3 linked regions of the Caenorhabditis elegans genome follow. The protein of the gene in region 3 interacts with the protein of the main gene of each other region in a pairwise test. Each region holds a gene or a part of one and is shown on either strand. Other genes may lie near its edges. The genes, in order: evl-18, npl-4.2 and ufd-1.

The links.
Region 1: the proteins of ufd-1 (region 3) and evl-18 interact in a two-hybrid assay, tested with the Caenorhabditis elegans proteins (one study listed by BioGRID).
Region 2: the proteins of ufd-1 (region 3) and npl-4.2 interact in a two-hybrid assay, tested with the Caenorhabditis elegans proteins (2 studies listed by BioGRID).

What each region holds. Positions count from the first base shown.
Region 1 is NC_003281.10:3,729,008-3,736,933, reverse strand, and holds evl-18 (Cell division control protein 45 homolog), read left to right. Parts: upstream 1-1,894; coding exon 1,895-1,954; intron 1,955-2,003; coding exon 2,004-2,063; intron 2,064-2,082; exon of another isoform or gene 2,083-2,087; coding exon of another isoform or gene 2,088-2,260; intron 2,261-2,310; coding exon of another isoform or gene 2,311-2,500; intron 2,501-2,560; coding exon of another isoform or gene 2,561-2,641; exon of another isoform or gene 2,642-2,679; intron 2,680-2,790; coding exon 2,791-2,884; intron 2,885-3,363; coding exon 3,364-3,851; intron 3,852-4,577; coding exon 4,578-5,036; intron 5,037-5,426; coding exon 5,427-5,634; intron 5,635-5,685; exon of another isoform or gene 5,686-5,757; coding exon of another isoform or gene 5,758-5,826; intron 5,827-5,984; coding exon of another isoform or gene 5,985-6,077; exon of another isoform or gene 6,078-6,159; intron 6,160-6,431; coding exon 6,432-6,630; intron 6,631-6,676; coding exon 6,677-6,833; 3' UTR 6,834-7,294; downstream 7,295-7,926. Other genes in the region: F34D10.4 (C2H2-type domain-containing protein), read right to left, coding at 1-1, 117-239, 285-310; F34D10.3 (Serpentine Receptor, class E (Epsilon)), read right to left, coding at 2,088-2,260, 2,311-2,500, 2,561-2,641; F34D10.8 (uncharacterized protein), read right to left, coding at 5,758-5,826, 5,985-6,077; F34D10.9 (CPSF_A domain-containing protein), read left to right, coding at 7,364-7,378, 7,426-7,846.
Region 2 is NC_003280.10:5,620,981-5,625,500, reverse strand, and holds npl-4.2 (Nuclear protein localization protein 4 homolog 2), read right to left. Parts: upstream 2,613-4,520; 5' UTR 2,605-2,612; coding exon 2,461-2,604; intron 2,410-2,460; coding exon 2,044-2,409; intron 1,982-2,043; coding exon 1,790-1,981; intron 1,743-1,789; coding exon 1,010-1,742; intron 939-1,009; coding exon 784-938; 3' UTR 635-783; downstream 1-634. Other genes in the region: eif-3.L (Eukaryotic translation initiation factor 3 subunit L), read left to right, coding at 3,020-3,092, 3,710-3,836, 3,886-4,159, 4,203-4,370, 4,414-4,520.
Region 3 is NC_003282.8:12,328,866-12,332,642, reverse strand, and holds ufd-1 (Ubiquitin fusion degradation protein 1 homolog), read left to right. Parts: upstream 1-1,752; 5' UTR 1,753-1,768; coding exon 1,769-1,846; intron 1,847-1,867; exon of another isoform or gene 1,868-1,873; coding exon of another isoform or gene 1,874-1,933; intron 1,934-1,994; coding exon 1,995-2,132; intron 2,133-2,181; coding exon 2,182-2,393; intron 2,394-2,463; coding exon 2,464-2,924; intron 2,925-2,991; coding exon 2,992-3,131; 3' UTR 3,132-3,235; downstream 3,236-3,777. Other genes in the region: F19B6.1 (Uridine kinase), read left to right, coding at 537-885, 928-1,062. UniProt on the Caenorhabditis elegans protein: Functions at a post-ubiquitination step in the ubiquitin fusion degradation (UFD) pathway. In association with npl-4.1 and/or npl-4.2 and ATPase cdc-48.1 and/or cdc-48.2, involved in the cytoplasmic elimination of misfolded proteins exported from the ER.

The sequences.
Region 1 (7,926 bases), on a different chromosome or scaffold from region 3:
CCTAAAATAAATACTAATGTTAAGCCTTAATTAATTTTTTTTGTTTTCAAGGAAGTAAGAGTCTTTGAAAACCAATATCTCAAAAATTGCAAACATTTTTCGGCGCCAAAACTTACGTGTGTATCGAAAAATGGGTCAGAGTGTCGGAAAATGTGCCGACGAAGTTACACTCATCGCCCCTCCGATTTTTCATGAACCGACATCTGAAGAAGTTTTTATTCTGTTCATAACTATCGGTTCTGCAAAAAAGCTATTTTTGTTGATGAAATATTCGCATTACTCACATTAATGCCTTAATATAAGGTTCCATATGCCGCCGTCAATTGATTGAGCTGAAAATTAGAATTGTGTTGAGAGCATATAAGGAAAAAAGAAAATTAAGACGGAGAATTGTGCAACTGAAAATATTCGAGAGGACCCTATTGTACACGTGGCATATCCATAAATATGTGCCACGAGCTGGGGAGCGAGGTTAAGGTCACGTTAAACATTTTATTAATTCGAATTTATATGGCAGGTTTCATAAAATTAAGTTGTTTTTCTCTTATATCCTAGACTTTTTAATAAGGTAAAAATCGACGAATTTGTAGCTTCCTTTAAAAATTAAAAATGTTATAGTAGATTACAAAAATGGCCAGAGTAGAGCGCATGTATGAATATTCAATGGTGGCGTCCGTGTTTTGTGTAAAATATTCTCATTGTGTACAATATTGTAGGAATACACTCAAAACAAATAGTGTTGCCTCGACATTTGCAATTTGAAAGTGTTACAGCACCCTTTTGATTTTATGAATATAGAAAAAATGTGCGAGAAAAATCAACGAGCGTCCCCGATTTGCCAATAAATCGTGGCAAAAAGGAAGAAAAACGAATAGATACGTGGTATGAGCGGAAGGAAGAGTTCGTTCGTCCTTCCAAAATAAACTGAGCTTTCTCTCTCTTCTACTCGGTTTTTATACCCGCTTTTTACGGGAGTGGATGGGCGGTGTGAAGCCAAGTGACGCGCCGCCGGTGCGTCACATGGCTTTTCCCAGTAACACGTGGTCTAGATACGAGCGGCTGCAGGGAACAAAGAAACATGCCAGGAATTCAATTAAATGCATTTGAAACCGGAATTTTCCGACCAAAAATTGTTTAAATTATTGAAAACGACAGAAATTAAATATTTGAATTTCGCCTAAAACAAAACAAAACATTTTCGTTGCGAGACCCACAACTCCAGAAAATGCGTGCTCCTTTAAACTAATTTCGCTTTTTCAACTGAATTAGCTGAATTTTGTGAATAATCAAAGAAAATAAGGAGGACTCCTTCCCCCGGAGGGTATTTGAGAGAAAAAAACAAAAAGTTAAATACAGTAACTGAAAAAACTCAATAAACGTAGATATTTAACTTACGAAAGAAAAACCTCCTCGCCTTGAATGTAACCTACGCGTGTCTGTGTTCATAAAATCCTGATGTGTATTTATTCATATTATTTTCTATGAGTTTGAAATTGAAATACAAAAATTTGTAAATATTGTATAATATTTACATTTCTGACCAAATCTACTCAATCCTCCTCCCCGTTCACCGCGTGCGCGATGACGTCTTCTCCAAACACTCCAGATGACGTAACATACCACCATTCTGTCATTCAGCAACAGCACATTATTATTTTCAATTGAATTGCCCACTTTTAGATTTATTTCTGTAGATTTTTCGGTTTTCAATTCAGTTTTTGCGAGAAATCGAGAAATGCAATTGCGCCCTGCCGCACTCTCAACGCGCGAAGCCATTAATTTGAAACGAACGCATCTTTTTTCACACTTTTCTGGTGATTTTCTCGAGATTTTTTGCTTATTATCTTTTTGAAATTAATAAAAAATAATTTTAAATCAATATTATAAATTTCAGATGATCATCGAAGACAACTTTCGGCAGGAATTCTACAATAAAATCAAGAAAGGCGATAAAGTGAGTTTAAAGTCATTTTTACTCCATTTTCACGTTATTTCTGCTTCAGAGTGTGGTTCTAATCGTTTCAGTCGACACGGATGCATTATGCACGACGATGATTTTGACGGTAATAATGCAATTTATTTATAAATCAATGATTATTTATTTTCTTTTGAACGGAGTAAAGTCTCCGCGTGAGATCGACAAAAATTATTCCACAAAAGATCCAAAATGGGATGAAATAGACAATATATGGAATTGAAAGTGCAAATGTCAGCCGAATTGCGATGAGAACCTCGAAAACCACTTTGCAAGTGATGCATACTGAAAATCGATTTTTTTTATTCAAAAAATATATTTATTTTCGTACTAACCGAACTGTCCTGTGTAAACATTATTGAATGGATACAAAAAGTTCCAGAAAGCGCGGATTCCGAGGTTTTGCTGTCCATTTGTGCGTAATTCGGAGTAAATGTTGTAAAAGAGCACTCCGAAGCACGCAGCGTCTGTGGCAAAAACTATAAGACAAAGGAAAATGTACTGTTTGTCGCCACTTGAATTATCCTGGAATTATTGTCTCCGGTTTATTGAAAATATTTCAATTTATCTTTCATTTCTGCTCACCAAAAACAGAGCCAAACAAATCGTGGTGGCAAGAAGGTCAAGGAAGACACAGATCGCTTTTTGACCCGATAAAAGTCGCATATTCATAAATGAACTCAATTTTATTCACATAATATTGAGAAAAATAGTCGATGGAGACAATAAGAGGGGGAGGGTGCAGAGAAAGAGAAGCGTACGAGAGAGCGCGGTTGCTGTGAGAGCATTAGATAGAACAATTATTCAAATTTCAGCATCTGCTACGCTGTGATGACATCCCATTCTCGATTCTTGCAGTGGAAGGATGGAGCTCGGTGGAGAAGATTTTTGCAGATTCACAAGAGCAAAGTATGTGAGAGAGTCGAAATATCCCCAATTTTTAATTAAAAAATAATTCCGTCACCGTTACCACACGGAAAAGTGGCAAAATTGGAGTAAAAATACAGTATCCGGTCTCGATACGAAAGATAGTACTGTAATTTTGAGCTCCCGTTTTTGCGCAATTCATATCGATGTGTTAGATTTATGTGATTTTATTTTTTAATATATAGTGTTTTTTTTAAAATAAACACATATTTTTAACGAGAAAACTATGAAAAATCGATAAAATTGCTCATCAACGAAAGTTTGAACCTACAGTACTCTTTAAAGGCGCACACTTTTTCGCAATTAGCAAATATTTGTCTGTCGAGATCCGGCGGAACTCTATACCGCCATATCAATTTCTAAGAAGTTTTATCACAATTTTCGGAATTTCGGAGCAAGATTTCCGCTGTTTCCTTTAATAAATTGATAAAAAAACATTTTTTATTACATTTTTATTACAGAATGTCATTATATCCTAATCAATTGCGGAGCAACACGATCCCTGACACGACTACAAATCCCGCCGGCTTCAATAGCATTTGTCATTGATTCTCATCGACCATTTCACATTGAGAATGTCTATGAAAATGGTCAAATTCATTTATTGGCAAATCCAAGTGAAATGAGCGAATTGCAAATTCCTGATCTTGAATCTGTGATTCGAGAGGATTCTGACGATGAAGAAGATTCAGATGAAGATGAAGATCAAGAGTACATCTCATATGAACAACGAATGGAAAAGATTCGACGGAAAGCGATTAAGAGGGAAGAAATGCAAATATGGGAAAGGCAGAGGAGGACAATTCTCTGGAGATACTACGAATCGACGTGGTTCAGCTCGCCGAGCTGTGTGACTTTACTCGAGATGGCCGCAGAAATGAACAGAGTATCTGCTGAAACTATGTGGTTTACTGCGGTCGGGTTGAATAGTGCGATGGCTGATAAATTGGTAAGTTTTAGGTGTGAAGGCTTTGAGCGAATCAAAAATTTCGGTTTCCTCTGAAAAATATCGAAAAAAAATTTTATGACGAAAGAAAAACATCGATTTTTGGCTCAAAAAATGATGCAATTTATCGGATCGATCTTTAATTTCAGGAAAATACGATGGTACAGTAGTTCTTAAAGGCGCATACTCTTTCAAAATCCAAAAAAATCGTGTAGAGACCAAGTTTTTAGGGCAAAAAATGGTATTTTTGGGTTTTTTCAAAAATAATATAATCCAGACACAAAATTTTGCGATTTTTGCGCCAAAAATACGGCGCCCGAGGTATTGACAACTGCTGAAAGATGTGCGCCTTTAAAGAGTACTGTAGCTTTAAATTCTCGTTGTTGCGAAATTTCATCGTTTTTGACAAATTTTTGAATGAAAAAAAAAATTGAATACATTTTTTATCAAAAAAAACTATAGATAATCGATGAAAATTCCGCGACAACGAAAATTGAAAGCTACAGTAAACTTTAAAGACGCAGACATTTTTATATTCCACACAAAGGTGTTGTTTCGAGACCTATAGCATTTCAAATTGATTAATAATTATGTTAAAACACCCCAAAAATCTACAGATTTTGAACAATTTTCAGTAAAAAAATTGGCAAATTACCAATTATCGCTAAAATTGCACTATTACACAATTTAAAAAGCCATAAAACAGTATTTTATACAACTTTTTTTCAGATCTCAATTGAAATGTACACCCAAATCTGTGTAGATCGAATGCGTCCGTTTGTCCATCGATTTATGCCAAAAAATATAGTGAATCAAGGAAAAGTGGATGATCTCTTGCATATTACATTTGGCCGAGAACTACCACTTGCTCTATATTCACATTGGGATTTGTTCAGTGCAATGATGGTCAGCGAGTATTTCTCGATTAAAACAAAAAATTGGACACAAAAAGGAGATGTGAATATTCGACATTTACTTGCTCAACTTGGAATCACTCTTCACGAAACAAAACAAAAATTCGAAGCTCTTCCAACGGAGCAACGGAATTTGGTGGTTGATGTTCTGGAAAAAGAAATGGATTCATCGTTTGCAACATTTTTTGGAACTCTTGGATATTGTGGGAAGTTGAGTGCATGTGATGTTGCAAGAGCTGTCACTTTACGATTGGAAATGCCGAAAAGTGAAACTGTAAGGGTTTTTTTTTGTAAAAATTTATATTTTTAGCCATTCTCTTCCAATATTTTAAATTAAAATTCAGTGATAAAGTATAGAAAAATATTTAGTTTATCTGAAAATAACTATTAATTTACTTGGAACAACTGAAAAAGTTCTCAATAATTCTCTGATTTTTTCGAGCAATTTTCAACTTTCAGATAACTTTTTGCACTCTTTAAACAATTAAAAGTGCTGAAAAATTATCTGGAAGTTGAGAACTCTCGGAACAAAATCTACCAGCTTTTAGACAATTATTTGAGCATTTCTCCAATTGTTCCAACTGAAATAAAAGGTATTTTCAGATAAATCAAATATTTTTTCTAATATTCTGAAATGCCAAAAAATAAAAATATATTATTCCAGATAATGAATCGTTTCCGATCCGGTCAATCAATCCTCAGATCATCAATAACTGGAGAACGACAAGATCGCCTGAATCTCAACAACACGTTCACTTCGATCTGCCAACGAACGCTTCAAGTGTCGTGGAAAACCGTCGCGGCGGCTATTAATCAATCGGAGATTATTCCAAATGGGCCGTATTATCTATTCTCGTGCTCACGGTCCATTGGTACGGATTTTAGAATCATTTGGAAAAAGTCAAATCGGAGAAAATAAAAACTCGATTTTTAAGCATTTTATTAGCATAATCAGAAGATGAAGTTCGATGGGGTCATGTGTTGTGGCTCGGCTATCACTTGGCTCCGCGAGTAGATCCACCAGTTGATTTTCCAGATGCTTCCTCAGCGACGCGAGCCTCTCTCTGTAATTTATTTTTGATGGGAAAATTAGTTGAAATTTTGAATTCAGAAATCCTCAAAGCGGTTTTTGAAAAAAACTCAAATTCGAATTCCCGCAATTTTTTTGATTAAATTCTGAATTCCCCGAGAAGCTAATGTTTCCAAATAACAAAATGCTTACCTTTGCAACCTTGCAAGCTCTGGCATGAGCCATTCTCTCCACCTGCATCTTCTTCTTCATTCGCTTTGGCATCAATTTCTTTGCGGCAGCCATTGCAGACCTTCTTCACAAGTTTCGATAACTAGAACTAACGAGAACTGATTTTGTTTCAAAAAGTTGAAGGAGAGTGGGAAATAAAAAAATCAGGCTTCACGTTTCTCGCGTCATTTGTTTTGAATTTTTTAAATAATTTCTTTTGAACAGATTAATTTTTCGCGTGTAAAAATCTTTTTGGACATCTGCTCTTTTGGTCTGGGGTCTTGGTTGGGGTTTTCAGAGAAAATCAGAAATTTTGAAAATTAATAAAACATTAAATTTTTAAATCAAATTTTGTTGATGTTGATGGGAAAAAATTGAAAACTAGTGAGAAAATTTAGTACTTTTATAGTCTAAAAAATATATTTCCAGACGAGGATATGGTCGACTCACGTCATTTTCTCTACAACACCGCCGGATTCATGATTCGCGCCTTTGCCTCAATGAAGAAAGGACGTACAACAAAGCCGCTAATCGCAATGTTCCCATTGACTGGAGAGAGTGCTGGATGGCTTGTAGTCACTGGAGTTATGCCGATTGCCACAATTTATGAGGATTCACTACTTAAAACGTAATATTCGGCCTGTAATTTTAACTTTAAAATTGATTATTTTCAGGTGTATTGGTCGTGCTTTCGAACGAGTAAAGAAAATGACTCCACCACTTCGTATCGTTGATGACTACTTTAATTCTGATATTATTCGCTTGAAATCTGAAGATCGTACTCGTTTTATTGATTTTCTGCAGACTGTCTTTGAGGGCACATCCAACTGATCTCTTACAGGCGTTTCTACCTATTGCACCATCTTGTTCCAATGCTTTTAATGAAAAAAAAAGTCTTAAAATATAGAGCATTACTTAATTTATCGGAAAATAGCTGAAAATGGCTTGGAAACTGCCATTTTTAGGCGATTTTCCTGCGTTTTCTGTGATAAATCAAGTGATTTTCTATATTTTGACACTAATTTTTAATGAAAAACATGGTGCATTAGGCTATTTTGTAGAATTGCCTCCTACTGTTATAATGTTCAATCTTTCTCATACACGGGCACACTGACTTTCCGAGTTTAATTTTTATTATCAATTTCTGAAATTATTTCCCCTATTTACTTCTCCACTTCTCATTTCATTGTCACATATTCACTTTATTTTGATCAGTTTTCACGTGAACATATTGTAATTTTTTTTCTGATGATGATTTTTTTCTGATGATTGATTAAATCAACTTCCAACTTCTTCAAACTAATTTATTTTATATTTTATCTAGTCTCAAATTTACGCACTTATCATTTTTCTACTCGAAAATGTCTACGCATAAGGTATGTTCGAGTTGGCCGATTTTCCTGATTAATTGAGGATTTTCTAGCAATCATATTTTGTGAGTTCAACACCGAATGGTCTTGATGGAGCTCAATATCTTGCTGTAAATCGTGATGGAAGTGTTCTTTATGGTCTTAAAGTTCGCATCGTATTGAGCATAGTTGAAGCTCCGGAACAAGCTCCAGAAGTCATCACTACAGCAACTGAAAAGTCTATCTGCAAATACCACGTGGCATCCGGAAACACAAAAACGTTCCAACTTGACGACGATATTGATCCGCTTCTTCTCGCTCGAATTATTGAATTTTATATGATTTCGGATAATATTGTCGCGCTGATTTCTTACGATTCAGAGCATTTTCAAGTTATACAGACACTTATTCATCTGGAACATTCGAAAGAATGGGCTCAGACGATTGTCGTGAGAAGATTGACTATTAGCAGAATGTCTGGGCCCCCATTAGTTAGTGAGTCAATCGGTTTTTTATCTGAAAAATGCCTCTGATTCTGACGAATTTGAATTGACCTCTAAGCCACGCCCACATTT
Region 2 (4,520 bases), on a different chromosome or scaffold from region 3:
AAAGAGGAATTCGTCTTATGAATAAACTGAGAAGATCGATGATGCTGTTTTCAAAAGGGGAATTAAGCACTTCTACAAAAAGAAAAACGCGATAAATTGTCTCCTCAGTTTACCGGATCTTACACAATCAAGAAGATGAATGAACTTAGTAGTCTTAGTATGGAAGTTCCTAATTGAATAACGAGAAGCGGGAAAACTACAGTTTCAACTTTTCACAAAAGTCTATACAAAATGTTCATCACCTAGATTAGGTTTCGGTGAGTCTAAACTATAGTAGCAAATTATATGACTACACTATAGTTACAGATTATCTTAGCTTAGGGTTTTTTTATTATTTCTTCTTTCTTCTTTCTTCTTCAATTCATCACAATCTTCTTTCTTCTTTTCATCGCCTGCAAGAGGGAAAAAGATTTGAAATACTCACCATCTTCGATTCCACGGGTCCAACTCCGATTCGATAATTTGCGATATTTAATACTGGTATTCCACCAGTTGTGAATAATTAAAAAAACGATGATATAATAAAAAATAAAGTGTTATTTTTTTTCACCAGATGCAACAAAGTTATTTTTTCCAAATTCTCCTAAAGCTTTGCTTTTGTTTTAGAATTAATTCTTAATTTGTCTTCATGAAAAATATGGAGAAAAGAATTCATTTGTGGGTGACTTTACAGAGCATACCAGTAGAAATACACTAGTAGAAAAGCGGGAAAATGAATAGAAATTTACAGAAACCGAGTAGAATAATAACATTCAATAAATATACTTTTTGAGATGATAATTTTTAATCGGCAGCTGGCAATCCACACATCGAGCAATCCTGTCTTCCTGCTTCGTTTTGGAATGTACAGTGTCCACAGCTCCAAACGGCTCCTCTTGATCCACCACTGCTTGATCCGGAGAAAGGATCACCATTTGGAATGACAGGAATATCTGAAACTATGAGAAATTGATATAAAAAATTCTTCGTGAAAGCGGAGAAGCAAAAACACACTAAAATAATAGCTTACCGTCATTGCCGCTTCCTCCATTAGCATGCGCTAAAGCCATCAACTGATGCCAATCTTCACATTCCTGAGCCCATTCCATTGCAGTTCCTCTGTCCTGAGCTTTAACTGCATCACACAATCGTTTCATCCATTCATCAGAAATCTGCACTTGGTCATTGGTTACTAAATAGAGCAAAAAGTGGAAGTTTGTAGCCTGTTCCAAAAATTGATTTGTAGAGAATTCGGATGAATATTGAATCAAATTTGCACCTCCTTGAAGTTGTCCAATTGCTTGTCGATTTTCAACATTAAATTTGGCACTCTTCGATTTATTAGATGTGCCAACGTGGAACGTGTAGTGAGGCTCTTTTGGCATTCCAGCAGGAACATCCACCAGCAAATATTCAACTGGAAGTGGTCGTCCGTTTTTCATAACCTCGGCTCCGTATTCATTTTTCATCGAAAATTGAACATCAGTTATATAATGTTCTTCGGATAATGGTGTCTCTCGAACATAAGCCAATTCAGGAGTGTACAGTGTTGGACAGAGAATATCAGCTTCAACCATGGCCGCACATTGATTTGAAACTTGATATCCGTGGAAATTAACATGCATCGATTCATCACCAGATGCAACAACGGTCACAAATTTGGATCCATAGTGACGATCCATCGAGTACTCTGTGATGTTTGGATGTTGATTTTGAAGCATTGCTGCGGTGATGCATTCCTCAGCTGATAGGAAGAAGGAATCCTGAAAAATTATTCGTTTTTTGGGCTTCTCTTCGAGATTGTTCTCACCTTGTGCCGTGTATAATGTACAGTTCCTTCAGCACTATTAGCTGTCCAACAATCTGTGAAGATCCATCCAACACGTTGCAAGCCAAGCATTTCCAGCAAATTGTCAATAGTTTTTTGATTTTTATCCTCCAAAAACTCAATTCCATCTTCACGGCAGTGTTGTGGAGGTTCATAAATTGCAGCCACTGTAGCCTGAAAGTATGAGCAATGAAATAACTCGTCTCAAGAAATGAGTGATGAAGTACTGAACTTACCTTGATTCCTAGTGGAACTTCAAGGTGAGGCTGATACTGTCCAATTAAAAATCCAACACGCTGATGGCCCGATAGTCTCCAATAATCCAAAAACTGATTTACAAGCTCTTGATTTTCAATTTGAATGTTATCAACATGACGAAACTTTTGACGATTCAATGTTACAACCTGTGGTTTGCATTTAGTGCAAATTCCTTTCGGGAACGGCTTGTGAGCATCACAGTTGGGTTTTAATGAACATCGAAAGTTTTCCAGCGGTTTTTTGAGAGTCGTGCCCTTCCCCTGGGATCCAAGGAGCTTGCGAACATGTGCATGGAAGCTCATATGCTTGATATCTTTTTCTTTCAAATATTCTTCATCGAATGGCTGTAAATATTGATATTAGTTTCTATGAAAACAACAGAAAATATCACTTACATCAACAGGCAAACAATTAGTGCACTTTTGACGTACAGGATGCCGACAGTTGGGCCCTTTTGGACGCTGAATTTGACCATCTTGCGTGCTTAAAAAAACATCAACGTCGTTGACACGCTCAGTTTGAGGGACTTCAATTACCATATCTGAAATAAAATAGATTTTTAAATGCAGGAAGATATGCCTTCTAGGTAGTGAATTGAAGATATATAATTTTGAGATTTTGCAAAAATAATGCAGCGGAAAGGGTATCAAATTAGTTTCCATACATATTCAAACATTAAACAGCAAATGAAATAAAACATTTTGTTTTTAGAATAAAAAATGTCATCAAAACTGCCTAGACAACATGAATGACGAGCAAATGCGTACACAAAAAACCGTGCGGCACTCTTGCGAAATCCCATGCAACGCTTGCAATTTTCTTTTTTCCATCACATTTTCCAATTCCTTTCATCAAATTTTACAATTAAAAAAATGTTTTCTCTTAATTTTAGCGTACCTTTTCGAATTTAGTTTGACATTTAAATAATATCAATATAAAAACCTTCTTTCAGTAATGTCTCGACGCGTGGAATTCGATTTATCCACTGAAGATCACTCTGATCGTCGTCGCACCAACACCTTTTCTTGTAAGTTCACAGAATGCTATTTTTCAGAATTGATGAATAAGAGTAAAATGAGTTGAAAAATGTTAAAATTTGAAACAGTTCGAAAAGACTGAAGACTCGGTCCTTTTTTGATTAACCGATTTATTTTAATTCGGCAAACAGACATTTGGAGAATTTGGTCTGAAATAATTTTGCATAAAAACTGCAGATTAACATTCCATGAGCAAAATACATAAAATTCAGAAAAACCAAATTTTCCAAATACTGTTACAGTGAAGAATCAATGCCAATTCTCAGAACTCCCTCATTGTATATGAAAATGACTACTTTTGTCATTTTCAGTGTTTTTCGGTGTCGAATATCCTCAAATCTCAGATTAAATGAATCACAGCTTTATTCATTTGAAAGAAATAATAAATGAAAAGGTGTTCATAAGAGTTCATAAGAAGTTAATCATTTAAAAGCCCGAGAGAGAAGTTGAGTATCAGAGGATCAATGATCGTGCATTGTGAAATCTTTTCAAAAGAAAAATTGATAATCAATCAATAGAGTAATTCTATAAACATATTTATGGTAGTTATTTAGGTGCTTGTTAACAACACAAACTTATCTCATTTCTTAATTTTTAACAGCTTCAGCCGATGAGGATGGAGTTCCAAATGAGGTCGCCGACTACCTGGTCTACTTTTCCCGCATGGTTGACGAACAAAATGTGCCGGAAATTTTGACTCTCTACGATCAAGCTTTTCCAGATCTCACCGAGAGGTAATATTTAATAATCTCAAATTGTTTTCTATTTATCTTTTAATTTCAGATTCTTCCGTGATCGCATGTGGCCCGATGAGAATGTTGTCGAAAGAATTATTGGACCTGGCAACAAGTTGTTCATAATTCTCTACAAGGAACTCTATTATCGCCAGCTGTATGCAAGAAATACTCGTGGACCACTCCTTGTCCATCGCTATGAGTCGTTCATGAACTATCAAGAGTTATTCTCTGAGCTTCTCTCAAGCAAGGATCCAATTCCATTGTCTCTCCCTAACGTGTGGCTTTGGGATATTATCGACGAATTCGTCTATCAATTCCAGGTAATATTTTTTGGTAGAGTTTGTACGTAATATAAATATTCAGGCATTCTGTCTCTACAAGGCTAACCCAGGAAAACGCAATGCTGATGAAGTTGAAGATCTCATCAATATCGAAGAAAATCAGAACGCGTGGAATATCTATCCAGTTCTCAACATTCTCTATTCGCTTCTATCAAAATCCCAAATTGTGGAGCAGCTCAAGGCATTGAAGGTTTGTTTAATTCAATATTATTTTTTTGCTTTCAACTCTACAGTCGTTCCAGGAAAAACGCAATCCGGATTCGGTCGCCGATGAATTCGGTCAATCGGATCTCTACTTCAAGCTTGGATATTTCGCTCTCATCGGACTTCTCCGCACTCA
Region 3 (3,777 bases):
AACTGAAAAATGGTCACTGCAAGATTTGAAAATTCCTTTTTGAAATCTGAAATCAGCGCCAACCTTTCTGAAATTTCTGAATCTGACTGCAAAAATACGGTACCCGGTCTCGACACGACAAATGTTTGTTAAACAAAAGTGTGCGCCTTGAAATAGTACTGTAGTTTCAATTTCTTATCACTGCGGATTTTTTGTTTTATTTTAAGTTTTGTTTATGGTTTCAATCAAGTTTTTTAATACAGAAATAATTTTTATAGAAAAACTACAAAGAATCAATAAAAATTCTGCAGTAATTTAAAATTACAGTAATCTTTAAAGGCGCTCTTTCAGCAAAAAATCTGTCGAATCGAGACCGGCTACCGTATTTTCGGCTTAAGAATTGCAAAGTTTCAGATCTTGGTTTCGGATATTCGGATATTAATGTTCTATTGTTTCCAATATAAGAATAAACTTTTTCTAAATAAAACTTGAAAACTAAACAATTGAAAACGTCTAAAATAGGCTCAACCATCTAGAAACTTTAATTTTTATTTCAGAACTATTGGCAAACGAAAGGACGCTCAGATTTGTGGTCTTCCAATCATGCGAGCCGGCGAATGTATGGAGACTGCTCTTCGCTCAATCGTCAAGGACTGCGTGATCGGAAAAATTTTGATTCAAACCAACGAGACGACGTTTGATCCAGAACTTCATTATATACGTTTGCCACCACACATAACTCGATACAAAGTTATCATTATGGACGCCACCGTAACTACTGGGAGTGCTGCGATGATGGCAATTCGTGTACTTCTTGATCATGATGTTAAAGAGGAAGACATATTTGTTGCATCTCTGCTTATGGGTCAACAAGGTGCACATGCACTGGCTTATGCCTTCCCGAAGGTTTACAATTTTTTATTTGAATTAAAAATTATTAATTTTCAGGTTAAATTAATCACCACCGCAATGGACCACCAAATGACGGAAAATTGCTATCTGATTCCCGGAATGGGCAATTTTGGTGATCGATATTACGGAACCGGGCTCGAACAAGACATGGACGAGCCATTCGATATGTGATCATCTGTTATCACAAAAATGATCAATTTTCTTCATAATTTATCAAAGTTTCTGTTTTCCTTCCATTTCATCTGATGAATTCCTACTTTCTTGTTCCTTTTCACTAACTTTATTATTATAATTATAATTATTCATAATGTTCTTTCTTTCCCATCATCATATCCATCCTTCTATACATTTTGTTTCCATTTGTTGTTGAAATTTTATATGCTATTTCATTTTTTGTCGTCCTTTTTTTCCGTTCTTCATTTTATTGACTTCTCTTCATGATTTCTGGCATTCAGCTCGATAATTCATTTATACCCTGTTCTTTCTAGTGTTTTTTCGCGTTGTTTGTGACGGTTAAATTCTTCCCTCTACATCTTTGCGCGTTTCCACACAAAAATCTGTACACGACATTCGGTTTTCTCGTTGTTCCATTTCTTTTTTGTTCAACGGAGCGCGTTTGTCGTTGCAGGAATCGGTTTTAATATCATCATCCATTCACGCATTCTCTTTTTCATGTTGTTCATTGTGTTTTTCTTCAATTTTTGTCAAGTTTCCTTCACACGTGCATTTTAGTAATTTCTTTCTATAATAAATTGCAGTTTGTTAAATATTTAAATGATCAATGAGCTCTCTTTTCTTGGTTGGCTCATCCTCTTTGTATTTTTTGAATTATAGTTGAAGAAAACGTTAATAACTTTTCAGAAAACCAAAAATAAAAATGCAAGCGTGGATACAACAAGGACTTCACGGGATGCAGATGGGCGGCCGAGTCGGGAATTATGATCAAACTTTTGTGGTGAGCTTTTAAAATTCATTTCGAAAGATGTTTGCAAACTTTTTTCAACAACAACTTCGCCGAACTACTCGTCATTTCGATCTCATTGTAAATAATAAATTGGATTTCAAAGATTATATTTCAGCGTTAATAAACAATTAAATTTCAGGTATATGGGCCCGTATTCCTTCCCAATGCAACACAGTCAAAAATAAGCGAAATCAATTATGGTGGAAAGATTCTTCTGCCGTCATCTGCTCTCAACTTGCTCATGCAATATAATATTCCGATGCCAATGCTTTTCAAGGTTTGTTTTGTATAGCTTGAAGTAACTAGAAAACCATTAAAATTTACAGCTAACCAATATGGCTGTTCAACGTGTAACTCATTGCGGTGTTCTTGAATTTTCTGCTCCAGAAGGACAAGCCATTCTGCCACTTTGGATGATGCAGCAATTGGGACTTGACGATGGAGATACCATTCGCATTGAGTCTGCAACTCTTCCGAAAGCCACGTTTGCTAAATTGAAGCCGATGTCACTCGAGTTTCTGAATATTACTAATCCAAAGTGAGTTTTCATAAACTCTAATAATTTTTTGAAGTTTTTGAACAAAGTCCTATATTTTTCTATTTTTCAGAGCTGTTCTTGAAGTGGAACTTCGAAAATATGCATGCCTCACCAAAAACGATCGGATCCCAACATCATATGCTGGACAAACTCTCGAATTCCTCGTCGTTGATTTGAAACCGGCCAACTCTGTGTGCATCATTGAATGTGATGTTAATCTCGATTTCGATCCTCCAGAAGGCTACGTTGAACAACCGAGACAGGTGACTCCTGCTGTCACTGCCAAGCCGCCTGCGCCAGATGCATCCGCATTTATTGGAGCTGGACAAAAAGCTGGTGGTAGTGGAGGGACAGGACAAAATGCAACTTCTGTATTCGGAGGAGCTGGGCGTCGTCTCGATGGAAAGAAGAAGCCATCATCTTCAGTATCACTCTCAGATGGAACCGGTGTTAGTACGAGTAATGCAGCTCCAGTGGCGAATGATTTGCCAGCTATTCCACCAGTGGTTGTCAATGAAGACTACAAACCAGGTAATACTTGTTTCATCTGAAATAAACATTTCAAAATAATTGAAAAGTTAAATTTTATGATTTTCAGGTCGTGTTTCATTCCTTCGTTATGATTATAAACGTGTTGATGTTCTCGAAAAAGAGCTCCGAGAGAAAGAAGCCAGCAAGGCAGGACAACCGTCAAATGTCTTCCGTGGAGGCAATCGAACACTGAGAGGAGCCCGTTAATGTCTCGAATCTGGCCAATTGTGCTATGAATAACATCTTTCACTTCACATAACCTTGTAAAAGTTCATCGCCACTTTTTTGTACAGGATAAATTTATTTGAATATATTATTCTTTGATAAGTGTGATTCAGAGATGAAATTGAAGGAGATCTCCGGAGAAAAAAATGAAATAACTAATATTATAGAACTATTCACTTGTTACAAAAATGCCTTGTAAGGTTTAAAAAATTGCAGAACTTGTTTAGATCATAAATTCTGGCTAGCGTCTGTGCTTCCGAAAACACACAAATGGACTTTTTCAATTGAAATTTTTTTGTTGAATCGAAAAATTCAATATTCAAGGAGCTCGGCCATGAAGCTGATGAACCTTCAGCGATGTCAGTGATGGGTGGAGTGGTTTCTTATCCAAACTTCTATGAATGAAAAAACCTGGAGAAAATGCTGTTTTGAAAGCCAACTCTATTTTTTGCAGAAAAAGGTCCAAATAGTCGATAGCTTCACAAAAGATCACTCGAAAATAGTCAAGATTCTGCAGGAAAAAGTCAAGTCTCAATACAAAAATTACATCTACAACACCAAAAAATCATTAAAATAAATACTAATTTATTGATACGGCGAAAGAATCGAATAAAATACAAAAAAAAAG